7 linked regions of the Macaca mulatta genome follow. The protein of the gene in region 3 purifies or fractionates together with the protein of the main gene of each other region. This does not show direct contact. Links are inferred from orthologs where the notes say so. Each region holds a gene or a part of one and is shown on either strand. Other genes may lie near its edges.

The links.
Region 1: the proteins of PPP1CC (region 3) and ERBIN purify together in Homo sapiens (affinity purification with mass spectrometry; 6 studies listed by BioGRID and IntAct, counting the BioPlex papers as one, with this or other methods). This does not show direct contact. The link is inferred for Macaca mulatta from reciprocal best matches to the Homo sapiens genes PPP1CC and ERBIN.
Region 2: the proteins of PPP1CC (region 3) and UBXN2B purify together in Homo sapiens (affinity purification with mass spectrometry; 3 studies listed by BioGRID and IntAct, with this or other methods). This does not show direct contact. The link is inferred for Macaca mulatta from reciprocal best matches to the Homo sapiens genes PPP1CC and UBXN2B.
Region 4: the proteins of PPP1CC (region 3) and UXT purify together in Homo sapiens (affinity purification with mass spectrometry; 4 studies listed by BioGRID and IntAct, counting the BioPlex papers as one, with this or other methods). This does not show direct contact. The link is inferred for Macaca mulatta from reciprocal best matches to the Homo sapiens genes PPP1CC and UXT.
Region 5: the proteins of PPP1CC (region 3) and PPP1R10 purify together in Homo sapiens (affinity purification with mass spectrometry; 8 studies listed by BioGRID and IntAct, counting the BioPlex papers as one, with this or other methods). This does not show direct contact. The link is inferred for Macaca mulatta from reciprocal best matches to the Homo sapiens genes PPP1CC and PPP1R10.
Region 6: the proteins of PPP1CC (region 3) and ZFYVE16 purify together in Homo sapiens (affinity purification with mass spectrometry; 3 studies listed by BioGRID and IntAct, counting the BioPlex papers as one, with this or other methods). This does not show direct contact. The link is inferred for Macaca mulatta from reciprocal best matches to the Homo sapiens genes PPP1CC and ZFYVE16.
Region 7: the proteins of PPP1CC (region 3) and RRP1B purify together in Homo sapiens (affinity purification with mass spectrometry; 7 studies listed by BioGRID and IntAct, counting the BioPlex papers as one, with this or other methods). This does not show direct contact. The link is inferred for Macaca mulatta from reciprocal best matches to the Homo sapiens genes PPP1CC and RRP1B.

What each region holds. Positions count from the first base shown.
Region 1 is NC_133411.1:74,125,744-74,129,243, forward strand, and holds part of ERBIN (erbin), read left to right. Parts: intron 1-39; coding exon 40-155; intron 156-2,030; coding exon 2,031-2,100; intron 2,101-3,500. UniProt on the Homo sapiens protein: Acts as an adapter for the receptor ERBB2, in epithelia. By binding the unphosphorylated 'Tyr-1248' of receptor ERBB2, it may contribute to stabilize this unphosphorylated state.
Region 2 is NC_133413.1:69,099,272-69,102,771, forward strand, and holds part of UBXN2B (UBX domain-containing protein 2B), read left to right. Parts: intron 1-1,821; coding exon 1,822-1,925; intron 1,926-3,500. UniProt on the Homo sapiens protein: Adapter protein required for Golgi and endoplasmic reticulum biogenesis. Involved in Golgi and endoplasmic reticulum maintenance during interphase and in their reassembly at the end of mitosis.
Region 3 is NC_133416.1:117,922,747-117,927,046, reverse strand, and holds the start of PPP1CC (serine/threonine-protein phosphatase PP1-gamma catalytic subunit), read left to right. Parts: upstream 1-1,500; 5' UTR 1,501-1,583; coding exon 1,584-1,638; intron 1,639-4,300. UniProt on the Homo sapiens protein: Protein phosphatase that associates with over 200 regulatory proteins to form highly specific holoenzymes which dephosphorylate hundreds of biological targets.
Region 4 is NC_133426.1:47,680,317-47,684,578, reverse strand, and holds the start of UXT (protein UXT), read left to right. Parts: upstream 1-1,462; 5' UTR 1,463-1,506; coding exon of another isoform or gene 1,507-1,718; coding exon 1,719-1,816; exon of another isoform or gene 1,817-1,828; intron 1,829-1,862; exon of another isoform or gene 1,863-2,246; intron 2,247-2,776; coding exon 2,777-2,858; intron 2,859-3,000; coding exon 3,001-3,068; intron 3,069-3,350; coding exon 3,351-3,458; intron 3,459-3,663; exon of another isoform or gene 3,664-3,830; intron 3,831-4,262. Other genes in the region: uncharacterized protein LOC144338585, read right to left, coding at 1,507-1,720. UniProt on the Homo sapiens protein: Involved in gene transcription regulation. Acts in concert with the corepressor URI1 to regulate androgen receptor AR-mediated transcription. Together with URI1, associates with chromatin to the NKX3-1 promoter region.
Region 5 is NC_133409.1:152,443,089-152,446,588, forward strand, and holds part of PPP1R10 (serine/threonine-protein phosphatase 1 regulatory subunit 10), read left to right. Parts: intron 1-1,220; coding exon 1,221-1,298; intron 1,299-1,431; coding exon 1,432-1,605; intron 1,606-1,830; coding exon 1,831-1,936; intron 1,937-2,038; coding exon 2,039-2,151; intron 2,152-2,981; coding exon 2,982-3,082; intron 3,083-3,331; coding exon 3,332-3,479; intron 3,480-3,500.
Region 6 is NC_133411.1:86,770,180-86,773,679, forward strand, and holds part of ZFYVE16 (zinc finger FYVE domain-containing protein 16), read left to right. Parts: intron 1-2,064; coding exon 2,065-2,226; intron 2,227-3,500.
Region 7 is NC_133408.1:3,855,260-3,858,759, forward strand, and holds part of RRP1B (ribosomal RNA processing protein 1 homolog B), read right to left. Parts: intron 3,084-3,500; exon of another isoform or gene 2,961-3,083; intron 1,621-2,960; coding exon 1,526-1,620; intron 813-1,525; exon of another isoform or gene 609-812; coding exon 511-608; intron 1-510. UniProt on the Homo sapiens protein: Positively regulates DNA damage-induced apoptosis by acting as a transcriptional coactivator of proapoptotic target genes of the transcriptional activator E2F1.

The sequences.
Region 1 (3,500 bases), on a different chromosome or scaffold from region 3:
GCCAAATTTTTTGATCCTCAGTTTATATTTCTCTTTCAGATTGGAAGCTGGAAAAATGTAACTGTGCTGTTTCTCCATTCCAATAAACTTGAGACACTTCCAGAGGAAATGGGTGATATGCAAAAATTAAAAGTCATTAATTTAAGTGACAATAGGTTTGTGATACTATATTCATCAGTTGGTTTATAGGAGATGTTGGTTAGATGAAATTAAGTTTCATATGATATATAATAGAATAACTAGTGCTTGTTTCTCTTTAAATATACATAGTAAGTCCTCAATGTTACTGATAGGCTCTTGGAAAGTGTGACTTTCAGTGAAACAACATATAATGAAATCACTTCTTATAATGAAATCACTTCTTTCGTTCATCAGTGTTTTAAGAAAATGACATTATTTGAGGACCTGCCATACACAGTTTTGCAAAAGCTGTGGTTTCCAGGAACTTATCAGTAACATTAAATGAGGTCTTAAGTGTGTATTTTTGTTTTTTCTTTAAATACAAGGAGTGGTCTAATTTTTCTGATGTTAATTTATCATACGGTGGTTGTTACTGTTCATTGTGGGTTGACTTAGCTATATATTCCTTATTCTCTCCTTACAGTTACCTTTTATTCCTAAAGTCACATCTTCACCTTAATATTGCTATTTAACAAAACAATTTTGGAATGTATCTAGTCTGTTGCTAATATTTTTCTGGACAGAAATCTGGTTTCAGCAAAGCCAAGATGCAGAGCAAATTGATCACTAAGGTTGTAAATTGGAACAATGTTTAAGTTAAAAACAGAATGTCCATACTTTTTCCTGAGGTAAACATACTAATGATGATTCAACTGCATTTGTAGAGTGTTTTCACTTTTTGCTTTCATAGTGTCTTGTGAAGTCTTCAAAACAGCTCTATGAAATAGTATAATAGTATTGCCATTTTATGTAGGAGGGTTTTAAGACTCAGATTTAAGGTGACTCACATAGCTTATAAGGTAGAGCTTTAATTTAAACTCAATTTTTTTACTAATTATGTTATTCTAACTTCTGTTTTATTTAAAAGAACCACTGCTTTCTTAAGTCAGTGTTTGACCCTTTAATTCCTACAACTCACAGTAGGTTGTGCAAATTACCTTGAAAGAAAGCCATGGAAGACTAGTTAGGCATAAGATAGCAAGGCTGAATTGGATAATTCCCTCTTAAATAGGGTATTTTCATTTAGTATTCTAATGAGTATTTATAGTTGACCCTCTGTATTTGTGGGTTCTGCAAGTGTGGATTCAAACAACTTCAGATCGAAAATATTTGGAAGAAAATTGTGTCAGTACTGAACGTGTACCAACATTCCCATTGTTATTCCCTAAACAGTACGGTATACCAACTGTTTACATAGCATTTGTATTCTAATAGGTATTATAAGTACTCTAGAAATGATTTAAAATATATGGGGGGGATGTACATAGGTTATATGCAAATACTATACAATTTTATATAAGGGATTGAGCATCTGCAGATTTTGGTGTCTGAGGGAGATCCTGGAACCAGTCTTCCACAGATACTGATGAATGACTGCACTTTGTTTTTACTCATTATCATCTTAGGATAGTCTTCTAGATTACATAACTGCTGGCTCACAAATAGAGAGCAGTGCAGTTTTTATATCAAACTATCACTAAGAGTGCTTCCTATAACAGTTTGTTCTGAGTACAAATAAACCAAAGCAGTTTTATGAGACATTCCTTAATGTGTTCTTTTCTCTAAGGCAGGGACAATTAACTGTTATTTTTAAAGGTTATTCTGTTGTCCATTTTCTTGCCAGGTGAATTGATTCAATTAAAGAATTAATATTTTTGAAACGAATTCTTGTAAAACTAGATATTTTGTCTTATATCCTGTACAAATAATTATATGGGACTTTTCTAGATTTTTTTCTCCTATTTTCATGTGCAACTATACAGCATTTTTCAGAAAACCTTTGAGCCCTCATTCATTTTAAATCTTCTCAAATTTTAAAGTTTAATTTTTGTTTGTATTTTTTCCTACAGATTAAAGAATTTGCCCTTTAGCTTTACAAAGCTACAGCAATTGACAGCTATGTGGCTCTCAGATAATCAGGTGGGCATTCTGATTTTATAAGTTAATGGAGTTCCTATTTGTGTTATATAATTTTGCACTGTGATTTACATAGGGTCATTTAAGAGCAGCTATACAGTGGTACACGTGTAAATGTATCTTTTATATAAGAAAAATCTCGAACTATTTAGAAGGACATAACTTTTTATAAAATAGGTATCGCTTTATAAGTAATGAATTCTGTTGGACTTGCCTGATTTCTCCTAAATCTGTGAAAATATTGAGAGATTAGGAAGTCAGACTCAAACTCTGACTTTAATAGCATTATCTCATACACTTGTCATATTTTATAGTGAGAACACTTAAAGTCTACTTGGTAATTTCAAGACTATAACAGTGTTATTAACTGTAGTCACCACGTTGTACAGTAGAGCTCTTGAACTTATTCCTCCTAACTTGACTTTTGTACCCTTTGACCAGTATATCCCAATCCATGCTCCAGCCCACCCCTGCCAGCTCCGAAACCCACCATTTTACTCTTAGTTTCTTTGAGTTTATCTTTTTTAGATTCCTCATATAAGTGAAAGTGTGTGACATTTATCTTCTTGTTCCTGCTTATTTCACTTAACATAATGTCCTCTAGGTTCATCCATGTTGTTGCAAGTGACAGGATTTCCTGAATAGTATTCCATTGTGATTGTATGTGTATTTGTGTACACACACTACATTTTGTTTATTCATTCATCCATTCGTGGGCACTTAGGCTGATTTGCTATTGTGAATTCTGCTGCAGTGAACATGGGAGTGCAGACATCTCTTCAACATACTGATTTTATTTCTTTTGAATATATATCCAGTAATGAGATTGCTGGATTGTATGATAGTTCCATTTTTAATATTTTGAGGAACCTCCATAATATATTCCCACCAACAGTGTGTAAGGATTCCTTGTAAGTTGTTATAACAAAATAGAATATACAATTTACTGATCTTCTTAATTAAAAAATTAATGCTTGTTATTTAATGTTGAGCAATACTTTATAATAATTTATTTAAAGCTCTATTTTCCCAGTGTTGGATACACTGGTCTCATATGATACTTATGAACTCTGCAGCCAAATTTTCTTGGGAAACTGTATTGTATTCTAATTCTGGATTATATTAACAGCCCTGAGGTGTTAATGCAGTAAAGAAACCCACAAGGATTCTTCATAACTTTTTAACTGGGTATCCTTCTCTGTTCTGTTCTGTCTTGTTCCATGCTGTACTTTTCTTTCTTTTTTTTTTTTTTTTTTTTTTTTGAGACAGAGTCTCTCTCTGCTGCCAGGCTGGAGTGCAGTGGCGTGATCTCAGCTCACTGCACCCTCCACCTCCCGGGTTCAAGCAATTCTCCTGCCTCGGCCTCCTGAGTAGCTGGGACTACAGGCATGTGCCACCACTCC
Region 2 (3,500 bases), on a different chromosome or scaffold from region 3:
CTAGAATTGGTTACTCTAAGGCTGAGAATTCCAGTACTTTTAATGCTGTATACTTGATTTTCTTACCCAATTCCTTTGCTTTCAGGTTTCAAGTTCTTCACATTTCAAATTCTGGAGGAAAAATTATCAATATTTTACTTACATAGTTTATCCTCTGCATATTATTGAAACATTTTCTTAATAATGTCTTGAGATTTTATTGTGTTAGTTTTGACCAGTACTTCAATTAATATTTATCAATTTAAATTATCATTTCCTCTTTTGATGTAGTATCATCTGCTATGTTAAATAATATAAATTAAATTTCTTTGTAGTATTTACTAATGAACTTATGCCATATGATGCCATATGGCATCAACTGCCTCTAAATACCACTCATTTTCTAAGTTTTTAATGATGTACCATTAATAAGTAGGATCTTTCAGCCAGGTAGACTCTTCAATATCATTTTCCTCATATTCCTCTTTTGTTAATGTGTGTTCCACATTCCATGGGGTCAGAGGCATTTTTGCTTTTTTAATTTATGTCACCAAAGAAAATTGTTATTTGATTGAAAGTATTTATTTAAATCTTGTTAAAGCAAAAAACATATAGCAAATATAACCCCAATTTAAAATCAATCTGTCTATATCTATTTCTGATTCGTTTATACTATGTTCTTTATATAATTCAACGTGAATTTGTTGCCTTTTAGATACAATATTAGAAACAATTTGAGAAACTTAAAATCTACTTGGGGAAATAAAACAGCAAAAGTACACAAGTAATGACAACATAATGCTTAATATGAATGTCACTGGGGTTTCACGTGCCATGAGTATTTGAAAAAAGACATTAAGAAAATTAGAAAAGGTTTTGTGAAGGAGAGCTGAAATGGGCCTTTGAAATACAGATGACATTTTCATTGATGAGAGTAGGAGTATCATAAAAGTAATTCATACAGCTGACATAATCAACTCAGAAGGAAATCCATAAAATAGTATTACTTTAAAGAAATTTCAGGGAGGTAAAATTTCTGAAAAGTTTTGTCCCTAGTCATCATACTTTGTATGTGCATGTCTGTCTGTCTCTCCTCTGTCATTTGTTTGTTTTTTGTTTTGTGTTTTTGGAGGGGATGGGGTAATAAAGGACCATAAGGAGATACAACACTGTGGGAAGAAACAAAAATCTTGGGGAAAAGGAAATACTGATAAAATCATTGCCAAACACTTAAGAATAATATCTTCTAGTGATGGAAGAATAATATCTTATTCTTCCATCACTAGAAGATATTATTCTTCCATCACTAGAAGATATTCACAAAGCATGTGAATGTGCTTTCCATACATTATTTAATCCTTCAAATGACTCTGTGGTGATTTTTTTATAGACATTTGAAGATGTGGTAACTAAGGCTGAGAGAAATTAAATAATTTGCCCAAGATCACACAGTAAGTGCCTAAGTTAGGATTTAAATTCAGTCCTTTTAGATTACCAAACACTTTTATGATTCAGATTTCTAGCAAATCTGGTACAAATATGAATGTTACTGAATGTGAGAGGGTAGGGGGAAAAAAATTAGAAGTCTTTCATTTTGTTTTATTTGTGTATATTTTAAAAGTTTATAACTTAAAGTTATTCTAATAGATGTGGCGTTTTGGTTAGTTCCATAAAATGAGATGCGGTAAGTTTATCTCAGAAAGCAATCATCTGAAGCAGCAGCTTTTCTCATGAAAAGCCTTTACCACTCAATTTTAAGTTAATGTTCTATACATAACTTCTAGTTGTAGTTAAGAGGTTATTCCTAGTGTTATACTTTGTAACAAGCCTGTTATTATGTAGTTGGCCTTGGCAGAATTGTATGAAGATGAAGTGAAGTGCAAATCTTCCAAGTCTAACAGACCTAAAGCTGCAGTCTTCAAGAGCCCACGGACACCACCTCAACGGTAAGTTTTATTTTGTTTTGTTGTAAAAAGAAATTACAATTCTTTCTAAAATTTTACTAACTTCAAATTGTTTTAAATGGCCTTTTTCAAGGTTTCTTCAGTAATTTTTAAAAATTATTCCAAGGGCAAGGCAGATTTGGATAAAAAAGAAAAGATTAATATCATTTAGGTACTATTTTAAGAACTTTTACAATCAGAAAGCTAAAAGAAACTTATGGAAAAATTACCTTAAAATACCTAATATTTTGGTACGTATCATATGAAATTATATCCTGAATACTATTTTTGTTGGGCACAGTGGTTCTTTAATATTTTTTGAGTTGTAGGACTCACTAAGGGTCTGATGAAAGCTGTAGAATTCTCCTCTCAAAACAACTTTCATGTGCAAGTTTGTCATTCATTTTTAAGAGTTTGTGTGTTTCTTAAAGCCACTTGAAGCCACTCCATGGAGCCTCTGCAGGTCTTTTGTCCTCCATTTAAGAATCTATGATTTTTGAAGTCTGTCTTTTCCTCCTTTGGGTGATGATTCCTCCAGTGTGTGACATCCTAAATAGTATTTGTTGTTATTAAAATCCCTGAAGTATAAAAACAGCCAACTATGAAGATTTAAGAGATGAGAATCAGGTGTATTTTATTGCTGTGAGTTTTCTTGTTGCCAGGAATATTTTCATTTACATCTTTTTAGTACTGTAAGTATCATCCCTGGGGAAGAAATGTCAGTTTTCCCATTATATCTTATTCTCAGAAAGTCCATTTTATAAGTTTTCAATTCATCAAAAATCAAGACTAGTAAATACTGTGTTTACTTCACCTGTATTCATCAAGTTGTTAAAATGTTACATTGAACTTGTGTACACATGTATTCTCTCTCTTTTTTACTCAACTATTTGAAAGGAAATTGTAGCCATCATGACACTTTACCTCTAGATACTTCAGCATGCGGCTCCTAAGAAGCAGCACACACTTAAAAAATTGATAACACAGTACACCTTACAAAATTAATAATAATCGAGATGGGGAGTGTTGACTTATGCCTGTAATCCCAGCACTTTGGGAGGCCAAGGTGAGCAGATCACTTGAGGTCAGGAGTTCAAGACCAGCCTGGCCAACATGGCAAAACCCCATCTCTCCTAAAAATACAGAAATTAGCTGGGCATGGTGATGTGGGCCTATAATTCCAGCTACTCGGGAGGCTGAGGCAAAGGAATCACCTGAACTTGGGAGGCAGAAGTTGCAGAGAGCCGAGATGGTGCCACTGCACTCCTGCCTCAATGATGGAGGAGGACTCTGTCTCAAAAAAAAAAAAAAAAAATGAATAGTAATTCTATGATGCCATTTAATGTATAGTCTGTAGTCACATATCTCTTACAGCTTTTTCTTTGGATTTAGGATTCAACCAAGGACATTGCATTGCATTTAATTATTCCTGTTTTGAATTTCTGAATACAGAGAATTCCCCCCACCTTTTTATTGTTGTTTTTAGCTCAGCTGCATAATCTAAAATTTATTATGTTGACTTTTTTAGAGAGTCTAGGCCAGATGTCTTATAAAATTTCTAACATTCTAGATCACTGT
Region 3 (4,300 bases):
ATGTCACCAGCTGGGCTCATTGCCTTGCCCTGACAAATGGCACTTATGTGACTTCTGGTGGACAGAGCTGTAGCAGGGGAAAGTGAGTTGGTGCCTGAGGAAAGTGGATCGAGAGGCTGAGTTCTTAAACTCAAGGGCCCTGCACCAGTAGCGAGGGGGCCCAACTGAGAGGACATGGAGCCCTCACCCTGAGGATGTTGCTTTGGAAGAGGATGCCTGGGTGGTGCAATTACCTCGTGGCATACTGAGATGGGGATTCGTGCATCCTGCATTCATTGGGAAACAAAATGAATTTCTCGGAGAGACAGGGCTTTGCAAAATGTAAAGCGCTGCAGGAAGCAACATACATGGAAAGGTCAGGAAAGAGAGCCGATCTGTTTGCTGAGTGTGGGCTGTACTTCTAAACGCGGCCAAAGTCGATGCGCAGCCCCTGGAGGTGGCACAGTTTGGGGACCCCTTGGATAGGCGTGCACTCGGGGAGGCTGGGAAGCCAGAGAGGAATGGGCCAAAGTTTCTTCGGGTATCTGCAGAACCCAGGACCGCCCGCACAGCTTGCCTCTTCTCTTCCCGCCCCTGGCCTGCACGCGTGAAATCTGCAAATTCCCCTTTCAACTGCTGCACGCGCTCGTTCAACTTCGCCCTGGCTAGAATCGGGATAACCGTCCCGATGATTATATAACTTTCCGAGTTCAGGAAAGAGAAATCCAAGGGAGAGAAATGATGAAATTTTCTTTATGGACGGATTTTTTACCTCCAAAGTAAAGTTACAGAAGTGCACAAAAAATATATATACAAATACCCATACACCCACCACTCACAAAGAGTAACTTACATTTTGACTTATCTCGAAGAGGGTTTTTTCTTTTTAGTTACCAAATAAACCTTTCTCTTCTCCCAAGTTCCAGTATATCTTAATCCAAAATAAGTCAACCTTCTTTTATTTATTATTCTCCTTTTCCATCCTCACCCCAGATTTATCTTAAAGGGTAAATTCCAGGACCCCCGAAATCCCTCGGTGAGTTCCCACATGGCCAGGTCTGCAAACATCTAGCCTCAACGTACAAGATCCGGCGATGGCCGCAACCGGCAGTATGCACAGCTGCATTTCCTCCCCCAGCCCCAACTCCCGCATGCAACTTTGCAACTCACTCTCGGGCCCGCTGTCGGGGGCGGGCCTATTTATTCGGCCCGTTTGGCGGAAGGATCCCGCGCGTGGACGCAGTTGCGCTCAACCTCTCCGCCCCGCCCCGCGCCCTGGCCCCGCCCCCTCCCGCGCCCGGGCCCCGCCCCCTCCCGCGCGCCCTATGGCCCATAAAGAAGTCCCGGCCGGGCCGCTGCACTCCCCGCGTGCATCCGTGCGCCGCCCGAGGCTGTCTAAGGAGTCGGCGGCCATTTTGTTCTTCTCGTGGTTCCAGTGGGGAGAGAAGGAGGAAGCAGGGAGCGGGGCGGCAGGGGGGGGACCCGCCGCGGCTGCTGCCACCGCCGCCACCACCGCCTCTGCTCGTGGCGTGGGAAAGGAGGTGTGAGTCCCGGGCGCGAGCCGGCGGCGGCGCCGCTGCGGGAGGGTCGGCGGTGGGAAGGCGATGGCGGATTTAGACAAACTCAACATCGACAGCATCATCCAACGGCTGCTGGAAGGTAAGGGGGGCGGCGGGCGGCTGAAGGGGGAGGCGGGCCCGAGGGCGGCAGGCGGCCCCGGGGGCTCGAGGGAGGGGAGTTGGGAGGCCGGTTGGGCTTGCAGCACCGTGGGAAGTGAGCTTCTCGAGTTGGCCCACGGGCCGGGGGCTGCAGCTGGAGGGAGGCCAGCCTGGGATCCCCAACTTGTCGCCAGCCGCGGACCCTCCAGGCTCCACTCATTCATTGCACGAGGATGCAGGCTTTCTCCCGGCCGTGGAATTTGAAAACTCCGCTCCCCACCCCCATGTTTCCCGCCTCTACCCGTTTGCCCCCGCACACCAGACGGGTCTTTGGAGCGATTGTTGGGCTGGGGGCCCCAGTCCAGCCTCCTGGACGGCGTGCGCCGTACTGTGCGAGATGGACTTTTCGGTGCTCGTCCTCACGGAAGGCAGTTTGATGAGGGCGTGAGTTCCACCGGGTTTGGGGGCTCTTTTCCTGCTTGCTTTTATTTTTCGTGGTTCTGGGGTCTTGGGGGGCCCATTTCTTGTTACTTGGTAACAAGCGTTCATGTCTCAAGAGGTGTGAGAACCTGTCTTCGCCTGCCCTCCAAATCCTTTTAAGTTATTCTAATCTTGGAGAGGTCTCCGCGCTCTTTTCCTGAACGTGCATCTGAACAGGAAGTCAGCAAGGCTGACGGTATCGTTATCTTTCCAATGTGCCAGGCTCTGTCTTGAGCACTTTGCGTCCATGAAATTATTACTGTAATAATCATAACTGGCGCTTCTAAAGGGCTTACTGTGTGTCAAGCATTCTTTGAGCACTTAACACAGATTTCATATTCTCCCACCCATTGCAAGATATTTGCTTTTTTTTTGTTGTTTTTGTTATTTTACAGAAGAAACTGAGATGAAGTCACTTAACCAAGGTCACACAGTTAGTGAATTGGGTTTCAAACCCAGATAGCCAGGAGCTAGTAAAACTCGCTACAGACAACACTGAAGGAAGGGGGCCAGTGGTTTAGTAAAGGTTAATAGAAAGGTTTAAATTTCGGCTCATCTAAGACTGGTGAGGTGCCTGGCAATTGATTCATGTTGATGTGGGAGAGGGGCGAGGTTCAGCTTTTAAAGACGGAAGCTGAAATGAGCTGCTTTCAGATTCAAGGGCATGTCAACAGATGCTAACATCTTATCCAAGACTTTGTAAGAATTCAGTCATACCCCTTAACTTGGACACTTCATAATGGGAACTTGGCAGTTTTAACTGCTTTTTGCCTTTATGTAGTCCTAAAATATTACTGGACTATAAATGCTGTGAGTGGTGGAGTCGAGGGCATGACAGCTCTAGTGTTAGAATTTGCAGATCTTTTAAAGTAAGTTATTAAAATGAAACTCTGAAAATATCTCGTCCTTTTCTTAATCTGTGCATTCTTTCCTTTTATGCTGTCTTTAAAAAAAACACTAAATGTCATTAAGGACCCCTGAAATGCTCTTGAAATGTTATTGCAGGTGAAAACCTTGTGTTGTAGGTGAAAACCTTGTCATTCCTTTAATGTCAGGTATTTATATAAGAACCATATTTTTTCATGCTAGTTAATATAGTTATTTGAGGCAGCAGTTGGTCAGAAACTGATTAAAATAGTTTGCTGTAAGAAAAGAATTTTTTGTTAAATATTTTCTTTCTAAATTTTAAAATTCTGCTTATCTCTGCAGGGATATGTGTGGCTTTATTTCTCTGAGGAAACAGGAAAAGTTGGAATTTGCATGGATTAGAAACATTAGAATTTTAAATCTAATTAAATTAGAATTTTAAGATCATCTAAGGCTTGCTAATTTAAGTTCTGGTTTGCCCATAACTGCCTCTGGATTCATAAATAGCTTTTGTTAATTTTAATCATTACAATCCTAATAAGTAGTTTGCCTAGTAAATAATGATACATCTAAAATGAGATCATTGTTTCTTAATAGTTCCTCTTGTTATATGGCACTTGAAAACCAGGTTTTCTTATATTTCTTTTTTTGCTGAAATTAAGAAAGCAGTGCATTTTAATGCCTTGGGAATAGGCTAACTGCAAAGTATACTTAAATTTCCTTTTTTCTCGTGGGTGTTAAATTGGCAGAGAAACATTTGAAGATGATCCATTGAGGATATGTAGATATCTAAGTTAAATGATGTTGGTAATAAATTCTGTGCTTTACAAGTTTTTTATTTTAAAAAAATTAAATGTAATAATTTAAAATAGAAATGAGAGTCTCACTGTGTTGCCCAGGCTGTTCTCAAACTCCTGGTATCAAGCAGTCCTCCCACCTCGGCCTTCCTGGGTTCTGGGGTTATAGTCATGAGCCACCATGCCCGGCCTGAATTTTGTGCTTTTCGTAATGCCCCCAAAACCTTTTTTTTTTTTCCCCTTAAATGCTTTAAGATGTAAGTATATCTGAAAGTAGAGGCAATATGACTTTTGTGACCTTGGTAGACTTTTTCACGTGTTCAGAATTGATCTTTTAAGCTTGAGAGCAGTATAAGCTAGTTGAGAAGTAGCTCAGTAATAGTACTAAAAAGCTAACTGAAAAGTGAAGTCTTAAGAAAAACAGCATGTTGGTTTAGATCTTAGTCACTAACTTTGCAGTTCTTTTCTTTTCTGAACTCCTGAATGTTTCTGTAAGTAATGGCATCACCTCTGCAACCC
Region 4 (4,262 bases), on a different chromosome or scaffold from region 3:
AGAAAGAAAGAGAAAGAAAGAAAGAAAGAAAGAAAGAAAGAAAGAAAGAAAGAAAGAAAGAAAGAAAAGAAAAGAAAAGAAAAGAAAAGAAAGAGAAGGAAGGAAGGAAGGAAGGAAGGAAGGAAGGAAGGAAGGAAAGGCAGGCTTAACTTGCTTGGGTTTTCAGCATTTGAAAAAAAAACTTGCTTTTACATATGAAACACAAATTATCTGGGAAGACTTCCTTGGTAGGGGTGGGTGCTCTAAGCTCTATAGATGGAAATAGCATTTGGAGATTCATCCCATGGTCTGGATTCTTCTCCAGGCAAAGGCCCATTCTTGCTGGGTTATAAGTTCTTGTTTGAAAATCTAACCTGAATTTAAGGCATTTCAGTGATAGACTGGATTAAGAAAATGTGGCACATATACACCATGGAATACTATGCAGCCATAAAAAAGGATGAGTTCGTGTCCTTTGTAGGGACATGGATGCAGCTGGAAACCATCATTTTCAGCAAACTATCACAAGAACAGAAAACCAAACACTGCATGTTCTCACTCATAGGTGGGAACCGAACAATGAGATCACTTGGACACAGGAAGGGTAACATCACACATCGGGGCCTATTGTGGGGAGGGGGGAGGGGGGAGGGATATCATTAGGAGATATACCTAATGAGTTAATGGGTGCAGCACACCAACATGGCACATGTATACATATGTAACAAACCTGCACGTTGTGTGCATGTACCCTGGAACTTAAAGTATAATTTTTTTAAAAAAAATCTAAACTGAAAAACAAATTCACTCAGTCACTCTAGTGCATAAGAATAAATTCACAAAAACCTTACCATTTAAATAAAAACATGGGAACTATGCCTAACTACAAGATGGCCAATATTCTGCAGAGGACTTCAGCCACCCTCTCCATTTGACTATCAAACGAGGTGATTAGATATAGTGCGTTGTCAATTTCCGCTTGAGCCTCAGTTATAGGTTGCAGGTACAGAGCTGGAGTTATCAAAGATGAATTTTAGAAAATCTGTCTCTGTTTAAAACCTTTTAAGTGCTCATACTCAGTCCCATTGCCAGGAGTGAAACCCAAACCTCCCGTATGACAAATCAATATCCAAGCCGACAGATCACACGGGATCTTCCTTATAGACCAGAACCATAGTCAATTCTTAGGTCCTTTTAAATATTAAACTCTTCACTTCCTCTCTCTACCTCTACCTGTGCGTCGCGCCTAACTTAGAACCGCCAAATCCCATTAAATCCCACCCTCACCAGCGACGCACGGTCTCCATAGGCTCCACGCGCCGCTTTTGCAGTCCCCCATTGGCCGGTTTATTGCCAGATGGCCTGCTCCCACGCCCTAGTCATCTTTGATCTCCTCGGATTCCGTGAAGCCCCGCCCTTCTCTTCTCCCCTTTGGCCCGTCTTCCCCAGCTGGCTATTTGGTTGGCCAGCGCGCTTGCCACTTACGTCATTCACCCGCGCCACCCGGAAGCCGCGGTTCCTACCAACCGTTTTTATTGCTGGCGGCCCTGAGGTAAAGGCCGCGCTTGGGTGTCCCTGGGTGGCCGGGTCCCCGAGTTGGGAGGGGCGGAAGGCTGAGCCCCCAGCTTGAGCCGGACAAGTCGATTCCCAGCGTTGAGAGGGTAGAGATGAACTGTGTGTGAGGCCAAACTGGAGCGGTCAACGTGGTCTTCCCCCTCCCCACTCCCCAGGAGCCCATCATGGCGACGCCCCCTAAGCGGCGGGCGGTGGAGGCCACGGGGGAGAAAGTACTGCGCTACGAGACCTTCATCAGTGACGTGCTGCAGCGGGACTTGCGGTGAGTGACAGTGCAGAGGGCGGGGCGTCTGGAACATTCCACGTGGTGGGTGGGGCGTTCAGAGTTAGGGCCAACCCTTTGGATTGGTGGGCGAGGCGTTCAGAGTCCGGCCCCGCGCTCCTTGGAGCGTGAAGTGGTGATGATATCCGGGGTGCAGTTTGGCTGGGACGTGGCGTTCATAGCAGGGGGCGTGTCAGCGCATGCGCGGCCTCCGATGTTTGACGGATTAGGGCTTGTTTTCTGGAGCCACAGTTCTCAGGTTCGAATCCTGGCTCGGCCATTCTTCATCCTTGTGAATACGTCATACCTCGCCTTTCTGTGCCCTATAAACTTCTCTGTGAAATGGGGAGTTTTCTGGAACCTTCCCCATGCAGTGGTTTTGAGTTTTTCATATGTCCCATCTTTGTAAATAATTTAGTAGCATGGATGCCTGAAACATAGTAGAGGTTCAATAAGTATGAAGAAATATTATTGCAATTTTTGTTAATCTAAGCAAGAAGTAAGGTGTTCAGAACTAGGACTATGAGCATCCTAAAAGGGATGGAGGATTTTTCTAGGGTGAGGATGGGACATTATGATTGGAGTTCAGTATTGGGAGTGTAGTAATAGTAATAATAGCTAACATGTAGAGAGTTTACCATTTGGTAGGCATTATTCTAGATGCTTTGAGTAAATGCTCATTTAATCCTAATGACTCTACAAGGTAATACTGTCATCTGCATTTTATAAATGGGGAAACCAAGTCCCAAACAGGTTCCTTACTTGCCAAAGCCACACATCTATAAAGGACAGAGCCCAGATCCAAACCCAGGCAGTCTGACCCAGAGCCCAAAATTAACTTGTACACTAAAAAGCCTTTTCAGCGTATGGTGACGTGAGAGTCTCAGAGGGTCATGATATGAGGTATACTAGGAGGAATGGGGCTGCCTATTGGTCACCATTGTACTTTCATCCCATCAGAAAGGTGCTGGACCATCGAGACAAGGTATATGAGCAGCTGGCCAAATACCTTCAACTGAGAAATGTCATTGAGCGACTCCAGGTAAAGACTATGGGGTTGGGTATCATTTTTTTGGTGTGTGTGGGTAAGGGAGGGAAATGGGAAGAGAGACTCCAGAGCCAAACCTGTCACCTGACCTAAGAGTTCACCACTGACCCCTACCTCTTTTTCCCTGGCCCCACAGGAAGCTAAGCACTCGGAGTTATATATGCAGGTGGATTTGGGCTGTAACTTCTTCGTTGACACAGTGGTGTGAGTGTCTACCCGCCCCTCTGAGCCCACAGGGTTCAGCTTACCCCTTCCCTCATGCAACATATATTTTTTTGAGTATCTTCTATGTACCAGGCACTATACGAGGTTTATTATCCCAGTAGGATATAAGCTAGGCGCTGGGGATGTGACAGTGAATAAAATAGGACAAAATCCCTGCCTTCCCAGAGCCTCAATTTGGGGAAGGGTGGGGAGCAAAACATACACTCTGCTAAACAGTGATAAGGACTTCCCCCGCACTTCCTCTAACCTCTCTTTCCTCAGCCCAGATACTTCACGCATCTATGTGGCCCTGGGATATGGTTTTTTCCTGGAGTTGACACTGGCAGAAGCTCTCAAGTTCATTGATCGTAAGAGCTCTCTCCTCACAGAGTAAGTCCATTCCATGAGGATAGTGTGTAAAAATACCACCATTTCCAACACTCTTCTCACTTTCCCCATGGCTGCCTAGAATGATACTTAAGGACTCATCTCCCCTCCTCCTCAGAGCTGGGGCTGAAGAAATGTGGTTGCAAAGCCCATGTATAGCACATAATAAGCATTCAAAAAATGATCTTTGTATCGTTCATTCATGCAGACATTTATTGGGAATCTTCTGTATGCCAGGCACTGTGCTTAGCAGTGGGAATGCAGCAGTGAACAAGACAGAAGAGTTCCTTGAAGGCTTAAAATCTAGAAGGACTATACTGTTATACATAAATACAATTATGACCAGATCCATGAGGTCTCAGCCTGTTAGAGTTGGTAACAAGAAAACTAGTTACCTGTGATTTCACTTCCTGCTAATTTTACTATTCATTCACTGTGTTCCTGCCACACTGACCTTCACATGCTTCTTTCAGCACCCCAAGAATGATCCCACCCCAGGGCAATTGCCGTAGCTGTTCTCTCTGCCTGCACTGCCCTTTTCCCCAGTACCCACATGGCTTCCTTTCTCCTCACTCATCTCGCTTAAATGTCGCTTCCTCGATGAGGCCCTCTGTAACCTAACTTTAAAATCACAGCCCCTGGCATGCTTGATTCCCCTCCGTCTACTTTTTTTCCCTAACACTTATCACCCCCTAATATTTACTGTGTAATTTCTTGCTTTCTCATATTGTCTCCTCCAATTAGAATGTAAGTTTTACAAAGGGGGAGCTTTGGTTTATATCCCGGGTGACTAGAGTAGTACAAACA
Region 5 (3,500 bases), on a different chromosome or scaffold from region 3:
GGTGGGCGCTTGTAGTCCCAGCTACTTGGGAGGCTGAGGCAGGAGAATGGCGTGAACCCGGAGGCGGATCTTGCAGTGAGCCGAGATTGCGCCACTGCACTCCAGCCTGGGTAACCGAGCGAGACTCCATCTCAAAGAAAAAAAAAGAAATATATCAAAGCTCTGATTCTTTCCTTTTCTAAAAGAGTTGTGGAGCTTCTGGCAAGGACCATATAGTTCTGTCTTGAAGACAAAGCCTGTCTCCTTTAGAAATTTAGAGTTTCCTTTATCTCTACCCGGGCACACAAGATACCAGTTTCCCACCAAGTGAGCAGTGATCTATTTCCAACTGGCTTAATTGTGTTGCTCTCTTTAAATATATATTTAATTACCATCATGCCTTTAGATATTGAAATTTGTATATTCCCTGTCGGTTGTAGTTAAGTCTCACCGGAACCATAGTTATCAGTTACTCCAGAAAGATTTTAGGATATTCCTGCATTGAGGTTCATGTTGGCTTAGGTATAGAAATTGCTAATTGTATGACTGTTTCAAAAAGTTATGTTTTAGTGTTCTGTGAAAATCTTACTGTTAAATGACAAATTATGAAATACGTCTCTAAGTGGAAATGTTGGCCAGAAGAGAGGTGCCATAGATCAGAGATGTTATTTGCCAAGTACAAAAGGAAAGAGTTACAAAAGTATTTTTTCATTTAGAAACAAATTTTATGCTTGTTTTTACATCTATAAAGGAAAATAAAAAGTCTTCAGATTGTTGTAACAATTAGGTGTGTTATACGTAAAGCAACTAATGTAGCTTTTTAAAAAAATGTCAGTAGTTTTTGAGGAACTGGTGGATTTTGGTTACATGTATAAGTTCTTTAATGGTGATTTCTGAGATTTTGGTACACTCATCACCCGAGCAGTGTACATGGCACCCAATGTGTAGTCTTTTACTAATGCAGATTTTAACCACATATTCTGAAATAAATATTAGGTCTTTTTACTCCAGAGTGGTGTGATGACATCAGAGTTGAAAGTTATTTGAGTAGAACACAACTCTTAATTCATTGTTCCATTTTTTAGGAGTTTGGTTTTTAAGCATATCTCATGTTCTTCTTAAAACTTTGGATTACTTTCTCCATTACATAGATTTTCACAATATTTTCTCAAACCTCCCATTTTCTGTTCCTGGAAGAATATTTTACATTATTAGGCATTTCCCCTTTCTCTCACCTGCAGAGCTCCGGAAATTGGCCTCAGTCCTTGTCAGCGACTGGATGGCTGTCATCCGCTCTCAGAGCAGTACTCAGCCCGCTGGTAAGCTCCTTAGTCCTTTATCCTTTGTATTTATTTCTTTCCTACTGGGATGTGGCCTTTCGGTACTCCCAGTCTGCTTCACCTCTGACAGTGTTTAAATAAAATCCATTTCTGCTTTGTTTTTTCACGACAGAGAAAGATAAGAAGAAACGTAAAGATGAGGGGAAAAGTCGAACTACCCCTCCTGAGCGACCTTTGACAGAGGTGAAGGCTGAGACCCGGGCCGAGGAGGCCCCAGAGAAGAAGAGGGAGAAGCCCAAGTCTCTTCGAACCACAGCACCCAGTCATGCCAAGTTCCGTTCCACTGGTAAGACTGGCGGCTGGCCTCTGGAGGGTTCGTGTGCATGTGCACACCCAGAGCCTTATGGGGGAATCATTTGATGTGTGATATGTTAATCGTAAGGAAGAGAGAAGATTAGCAGAGGAAGCTTTGGTTACAAGGTTAGAAGAACATTTGCGGGTGAGAACGGGAGGAAAATTCAGGGGTTTAGGGGTTTGAGTTCAGCTGCCCACACCATGCTGCTTTCCCCAGGACTAGAGCTGGAGACACCATCCTTGGTGCCTGTGAAGAAGAACGCCAGCACAGTGGTGGTTTCTGACAAGTACAATCTTAAACCTATCCCCCTCAAACGTCAGAGGTATGGACCATATTCTCAGGTTCTGAATGGGGTGGATCTGTGGACACAAGGGAGCAAGAGGGGGTGAGTCAGAGATGTTGATGACAGTTCCTCTTCTGACAGCAACGTAGCTGCTCCAGGAGATGCTACCCCCCCTGCAGAAAAGAAATACAAGCCACTCAACACAACACCTAATGCCACCAAAGAGATCAAAGTGAAGATCATTCCGCCACAGCGTGAGTCTAAAGTGGGGAGATGTACTTTGAATTAGGAGCAAAGTCTTTTTTTTTTTTTTTTTTTTTGAGACAGTCTCGTTCTGTTGCCCAGGCTGGAGTGCAGTGGCACGATCTTGGCTCACTGCAAGCTCCGCCTCCCGGGTCCATGCCATTCTCCTGCCTCAGTCTCCCGAGTAGCTGGGACTACAGGCGCCCGCCACCATGCCCGGCTAATTTTTTGTATTTTTAGTAGCGATGGGGTTTCACCATGTTAGCCAGGATGGTCTCAATCTCCTGACCTCATGATCCACCCGCCTCGGCCTCCCAAAGTGCTGAGATTACAGGCGTGAGCCACCGTGCCTGGCCAGGAGCAAACTCTTATGGGAACGAATGTCTCTGGGAACGAGAAGTTTTTTTCCCTTCTCTTTTATTATTTCCCTCCATTTTCCTTTGATTTCTTGGTACCCTTTACTTTTTGTACCTCTGGAACTCCCGTTTCCGGTGTCACTTAGGAGTAATTTTAGAGATAAGATAGGGAGGTGTGCCATTTTGTGACTGGTCAGGGGCGCCTGGCAAGGTGATTTGTCGTGTTCACAGGGGCTCACTTCATCAGTTACCTGAGCTATAATTCACATTCAAAGCTATGGCTTGCCTGCCACAGGAAACCTAGAATAACAAGAAGAATATCGTGTGTGAATCCTCCTGCATGTGCTTCCTGGTCCTCTTGAGCTTGTCGTGTCCTAAGTTGAGGCAGGCTCTTCATTGGCTCATTTTATGCCTAGACTGTGTTTGCAGGTGTAGGATTGTGAAGGAGGTCTGATGATGCCATTTGATGCTCTTTCTTTTTGTAGCTATGGAGGGCCTGGGCTTCCTGGATGCTCTCAATTCAGCCCCTGTTCCAGGCATCAAAATTAAGAAGAAGAAAAAAGTGCTGTCACCTACAGCTGCCAAGGTATGGGCTCCCAAAAGTAGGTTTCAGTGAGAGTATAAAAGGTAAAGTAGAAGAAAGGGCACAGCAGCTAGGAGTTGTCCGGGAGGACAAGAGGCGTTTTGCCTTGGATATAGACTGTGCAGGTGAGACCGGTGTGGAGACAGAGTCTTCCTTTATATAGGAACTGTTGGGGGATTGTGCCTGGGACCCTGGACTAATTGCCTTGCCCTTGGCTTTCCAGTCAGTTCACTTCCTTTTCTTTCACAATAGCCGAGCCCCTTTGAAGGGAAAACGAGCACAGAACCAAGCACAGCCAAACCTTCTTCCCCAGAACCAGCACCGCCGTCTGAGGCAATGGACATAGACCGTCCAGGCACCCCGGTTCCCCCTGTTGAAGTTCCAGAGCTCATGGATACAGGTAATCTAGAAACTGGTTCAG
Region 6 (3,500 bases), on a different chromosome or scaffold from region 3:
TGTTTATGAAGAGGTCAGTTTAAGTGCTTATAGTTGTTTTGTTTTTTCTTATGCTGTTTCAGTAGCCTAGAAGATGACTGCTGGTGCTGTTAGCCAAGGCAATCTGCTAGAATTCAGAAATTTTAGAGCAAGCTCCCACATAATTATCTCCCCCATTAAAAAGAAATTAAACATCCATGAGGATTTGAAACGTTATTTATGTTGACAGGTCAGATTTTTGGGTGAGCATTCAGACATATTTTGACTCTAAGGGTCCAGGAGGGGAGAAGATATGATCATTAAAGAAATTCAGTAGAATACTGAAATCAAGCTTTGGTTTATCAAAGAAAATACTGTGGAATTAGTTTATTTAGTTATCTATTTAAATTTATTCTATTTTGATATAGCATATAGTTTCATTTACGGTGCTATTTATTATTAATTTATATGCCACAGGAAAGCATAAATAAAAGTTAATATCAGCTTTAGGGTTGAAAATAATAGAAGTGATCATTTAAAATAATGATATCAAATGAGAAGAGAAAGATGGTTCATGGGTTGTGAGACACACTACGTGAAAGATTGGAAGAAAAAGATAATTTGAATAGAGATAGTAGATAATGAGAAAGCTGTCCTGAGATTATGTGAGTTTCAAGGAAGCGCACATGTGAATGTCAATAAGTAGATTTGAGGCAAGTTAGAAATTACTTTGAAATTGAGAGTAAGATGTTTGGACTTCACTTGGTTAATGGAAGCCATTTTATGAGTGCCATCATTCAGTGGCACTTGAGGAAGATTGTTTTAGCAGTGGCAACATTTATAGCAGATCAGTTTGGAGAAATGCTGAAGGGAGAGCTATCAATGTACCTTGTTTTTTGGATGAAGAATCACTCAGCAGTGTTCAGGCACTATTCTGCATTCTGAAGCTCAAGCTGAGAGCAAAATAGAAGCCATATTCTCATGAAATTTATGAATGTATGTAGAGATGGATAGTAAACAAAAAGATATCAGATGGTGATACTACCTTCAATTAAAAAATTTTAAAAGTGTAAGAGTGATAGATAGTTAACAGATTAGTGGCAAAAGGAATTTTTTTTTTTTGAGATGGAGTCTCACTCTGTCACTCAGGTTGGAGTATAATTGTGCGAACCTAGCTCTTTGCAGCCTCCATCTCCCAGGTTCAAGCAGTCCTCCCACCTCAGCCTCCCTAGTAGTTGGGACCACAGGCACACACTACCACGCCCAGCTGATTTTTTGTATTTATGATAAAAATGGGGTTTCACCATGTTGCCCAGGCTGGTCTCAAAGCAATCCTGAGCTTAAGTGATCTACCCGCTTTAGCCTCCCAAAGTATTGGAATTATAAGCGTGAGCCACTGTGCCTGGCCTTAGGTAGTATTTTTTATAATGTGGTCAGAGTAAGGCTTTATGGTAATATGACATGTGAGCAGAGTCTTGAAGGAGGTGAGATAATAAAGCTGTGTGAGTATGAGAAGAACATTCTAGGCCAAGGGAATAATAGGAGCAAAGATTCTAAGCTGTAGGAGTACTTACTTGAAGAACAAGGAGGTCTAGGTGGCTGGACCATAGCGAATGAGTGGCATTGTAGTGAGAGATGAGGTCAAACATGTAACTGGGAAAGTGGAGGAGGTAGGGATGAATTATGTTGGGTCTTGTGAGCCATTGTAACAACTTAAATTTTCACTTTAGTTAGCCATTAAAAGATTTTAAACAGAGGAATAATGAGATATGATTTATGTCTAAAAGAATCTCTCTAAACTATGTTGGAAATAGACTCTAGGGGTACAAGGACGAAAACAGAGATAGTCATGTTAAATAAGGGTTATTCTCTGTGGATATCAAATATACACCTTAGATATAATATTGAAATAACTTATTGGTAGCTTATCAAAGTGGCATGCTGCCAACTCAGACAGTATCTTTGCCAAGTGCTACTTCTTTTTCTTGATTAGCCATTTCTTTCTTTCTCGTTACAACTTGAAAAATAGAATATTTATTGAAATTTACTTTGAGGTAAATTACAAAAACATCTGAGATTTTAACACTATTGTTTTCCCCTTTATAGCTCAGGCATTTGAAAGGATGATGAGTCCAACTGGTTCTAATCTTAAATCTAATCATTCCGACGAATGTACTATTGTCCAGCCTCCTCAGGAGAACCAGACGTCCAGTATACCTTCACCAACAACTTTGCCAGTCTCAGCACTTAAACAACCAAATGTTGAAGGTAATAGAAGAAAATGCTGTGTCTAAGACTAAAGATAAATTATCAAAATAGAAATTCTCTAATGTAGCCAGAAATTCTCTAATGTAGTCAGGAAAGAGAAACCAGATTAAATATCAAGAGGGATTTAATACAGGGAATTGGTTACACATGCAGGCTGGAAGACTGGAAGAGCAAAAAGGCTGTGCTCAAGTGCCTCAGCAATTAGTAACTGCAGGAAGCAACCACCACAACTGGAGTTTGGGGCTACAAAAGGGGAGAGGCTAGAGCTCAGTGTAGGAGCACCAGGAGGTGTTTGGATCGCAGATGTTGGAGTCAGAAGCCATGGTCACAGCACCATCAAGAGGCCTCATAGAGTTGGTGCTCAGATGACTAAAGTAGAGCTCCAGATTTGATGTTAGGAGTACTGAAAATCATGAGTCTAGCAGCTGTATCTAGCGGTGTTGCTGCTGCAAAGATCCTGGCAGGATCCAGAAACAAAGAATTCCTTCTCATTTCTTCCCACCTTATGGTCTCCCACCAGTGCCTGCTATTGGAAAAAGCTGACCAAAGCCAGTAACGAGAGTCTGGGAATTGCACTTTCCAGACTTCCAACCTGGCATCCAAGAGCCCAGTTTAGAGGGTGAGCTTGGGTTTGAGAGGCAATACGTAAATAATTGTTCTATCTCCTTTTCATTAAAAACCTATTTGTAGTTGTGTATTTTACCACAGTAATAATGTTTTTTAAATCTGTTTTTAAATCATTGAGTTATCTGCTCCTTTTTACAACCCGTCATCAATTAGCATCTTGAGTAAGGCACATGTATGTCTTTAAATATGAATTATTAGTCTCTTACATGCTGGAAAAAAACCATAAATGTCAGATAAAGGCAAATTTGGATCCTTGTATTTTTGTGGACTTCAGTTTATTACTCAGTAACTGTTTTCCATTTATTATAATGAAATAAGGAGACTCAGCATTATATGGTTGTATATTATAGCCTAAAGATGAATAATTTGTGTTTGAAAATATGTGCATATTCTTATATTGATAACCCAAATGATTAAATTATAAAAATATTGCAAATACAAAAAAGATATGTTATTTAATATGTCTACCTACATTGCAAAAAATATATATAATTCCAATTTTTTCAGAGTTATCTTTATTATGTTCTGGAAAGTAGACATTGAACCTTTTTTTAAAAAAAATATTGTTCTAAAATCATCTGGCAGAGATTTTCATAACCTTCCTCTATGGATGCTTTGTAAGAAAAGAGAAAAATGTTTATGCTGAT
Region 7 (3,500 bases), on a different chromosome or scaffold from region 3:
CCTAGAGTGTGATCAGACAGTTGTGACCGATGACAGCAAGCCACGCATGAGGCCCTCCGTGAATTCCAGGTCATCATGTCACTATGGTCAGAGTGATGTCAACACTGACAGCTGAATTAACTAACACTTTTGGCATAGCCACATGGGAGGGAGGGGAGAGGTAAAGAATTAACCCTATCTATCTCAGTAGCACACCAGCAGAAGACACCTAAATAGCAGCTTCACATCAGTTTCTGGTTGGTTCATTTCACACATGAATAGACTTCACATCACTCTAAGGCAGCTAAGAGATGAGTATGGCTGCACTGGAAGAATGGAACCTGAGGGGTGGGACTGCTGTTTCCATTAAGCTTTTCAGTTTACATGTGTCTATTACATTGCTATGCACAAATGCATTAAAGGACAAAAAAAGAAGAAAGAAAAAAGATAAGCATGCAGATGGCTTGTCCCACACCAGGAGATGGGAACTAAAGGAATGATGATGTCAGAACCCTCCCTCCAGTCACTGACTTCTTGATGAGTTTGGAGAGGCGCTTCCTGTTGAAGGGGGGCGTGTTCTTCCTGCTGGTCATTTCCAGGAGTCGATCAGCAACAGCCTTATAGTCAAACTAGGCAGGAAGAGAAACTAAACATAAGTCTGCAGCCAAACAACCCTGCCTGACTTGGACATTTACATCTGCTAGTAAGAGAAGCCCCTACTGAAGCATTTGGCAACAGACAGGCTAAACAAGCATATGCTGGGACTTGGCCACCAGGAGCACAAGCACTACCTTTGAAAAATGCGTGTTCTGTTTATTCTTGGGAGAAGCTGGGTAAGTAATTCTTTTTTTTTTTTTTTAATTGTGATAGAGTACCCACAACAAAATTTACCTGGGTGTGCTTTTTTTTTTTTTTTTTTTTTTGAGGCGCAGTCTCTGTCACCCAGCCTGGAGTGCAGTGGCATGATCTCGGTTCACTGCAACCTCAGCCTCCCGGGTTCAAGTGATTCTCCTGCCTCAGCCTCCCGAGTAGCTGGGATTACAGGTGCGCGTGGCTGCGTTTTTGTATTTGTTTTTGAATTTGTAGTAGAGACGGGGTTTCACTGTGTTGGCCAGGCTGGTCTCAAACTCCTAACCTAAGGTGATCTGCCCACCCTGGCCTCCCAAAGTGCTGGGATTACAGGTGTGAGCCAGTGCACCCGGCCGGAGGGTGTGCTTCTTTTTAAACTGAAGCTAGATTTGCAATCTGTACTTGGCAAACTTTTTTTTATTTGACAAGTGCCACTAGAGCTGGCTCCGTGGTAGAGAACAGAGCAAAGCTTAGCCATTCAAAATAAGTGCTACTATCTCTTTCAAAACCCCATTGTATTTACATTTCCTTGTCTCCAATAAGGTTATTCTCAGGAAGGTGACATTTAGTGACTGAAGGGATTAAAAAGGAGTTTACATTTCAGGCCTTACAGCTTAACTAGCTGTGACCCTAATTCTGTAGTCAGGCTACTCCATAGCAAATCCATATTCTATAAAAAGCAACAACTGCCACCCACCTGGAGAAGGGGTCCTGTGTCCTCAAAGGTTCCGCAGTCATCTCTTCCTCTTTCATCACTGAGTCCATCTTTTCTGGAATGATTTTTGCCCAGTGCTGTCAAAATATACCCAGAGACCAAATTCTTGACATATCAAATACACAGAAGTGACTACTTCCACAGAAGCCACTGTCTAATTAGGTGTCTCTTAACAAAAAAGAAGGTTGGGCACGGTGGCTCACGCCTGTAATTCCAGCACCTTGGGAGTTGAGGTGGGTGGATCACTTGAGGCCAGGAATTCTAGATCAGCCTGGGCAACACGGCGAAAACCCATCTCCACTAAAAATACAAAAACTAGCTGGGCGTGGTCGCGGGTGCCTGTAATCCCAGCTACTCAGGAGGCTGAGGCTTGAGAATCGCTTGAACCCAGGAGGCAGGGGTTGCAGTGAGCCGAGATCGCGCCACTGCACTCCAGCCTGGGTGACAGCGAGACTCCGTCTCAAAAAAATAAAAAACGAAAGAAAATTTCTTTCAGGAGAAAAACTCTGCAAAGACATTTATAATTTCCCAGGACATTTTGATTGTTCAGGCTATGGGAATGGAAATAAGTCTGGGAAAAAGCACATGTTTTGCCTTTTGCACCCATAAAACCCCAATTCCCTGCTGCCTTCGATGATTCCCTCCCCCACACACTGTCCGGTTAGGACGAAGGCTGTGGTGAATGGGAAGCTCCTGTCCAGGGACGCAGGCAAGCGGATGGGACACTGTATCGCCCTGGACCACCAGGGGTAGAAGCATGGATGCAGGAGTCTGGCCCTAGTCTCAGGTCAGTTTAGGGCCTTGGTGAGAACCTGTCACAGCAGTACGGTCACTTCATGAGCACGCTTCAGGAAACACAAGTCAATATTAACGCAACTTTTAGCACTTAAAACATTCAGAGTGTTACAGCTTATGAAGAAGCAGATTAAACAGACTCAGGAGAACTCAAAATTATCTTAAACATGTACTGTTTCTGGAACCCTCTAAGCTTATTAGTGGTGTGGCATCAGGGCGAGGCCTGGGGAGGATGGGGCAGGTGCAGCACGCATTTGATGAACGTAACTGGGAGGGAACGTCTGGAACTGCACTCGGAAGAGAGTCTGTGTCCAGGTTAGGCTGACAGAAATGTGGGGAGCAGAGGGACCCAGAGACTACTCCCATGTGGTCCCATGACCACGTAACACTTGCTCCAGGTCCTTAGTCAACTCTGTTATCTACACCAAACTTAAAATCAGACTATTTCTTTTTTTATTATTTTGTTTTAGAGATGGGGGTCTCGTTATGTGGCCCAAGCTGGTCTCAAATTCCTGGGCTCAAGTGATCTTCCCATCTTGGCCTTCCAAAGTACTAGGATTATAGGCATGAGCCCCCACACCCAGACTAGACTATTTCTTTTATTCTTTCTTTTTTGAGACAGGGGCGCTGGTAGCTCTGTTGCCCAGGATGCAGTGCAGTGACATGATCATGATTCACGGCAGCCTCAACCTCCCAGGTTCAACTGATCCTCCCAGCTCAGCCTTCTGAGTAGCTGAGACCACAGGTATGTGCCACCATGCTTGGCTAATTGTAAAATTTTTATAGAGTCAGAGTCTTGTTATGTTGCCCAAGCTGGTCTCCAACTCCTAGGTTCAAGCGATCCTCCCACCTCAGGCTCCTAAAGTGCTGGGATTATGGGTGTGAGCCACCATGCCTGGCCAGAGTATTTTTTCTTTCTTTTAAAGATTCTTGGCTGGGCACAGTGGCTCACGCTTGTAATCCCAACACTTTGGGAAGCCCAGGCGGGTGGAATACCTGAGGTCAGGAGTTCGAGACCAGCCTGACCAACAGGGAGATAAAAATTTTGCCGGGCATGGTATGGTGGTGCATGTCTGTAATCCCAGCTACTCGGGAGGCTGAGGCAGGAGAATCGCTTGAACCCGGGAGGCGGAGGTTGCAGTGAGCCGAGATTGCACCATTG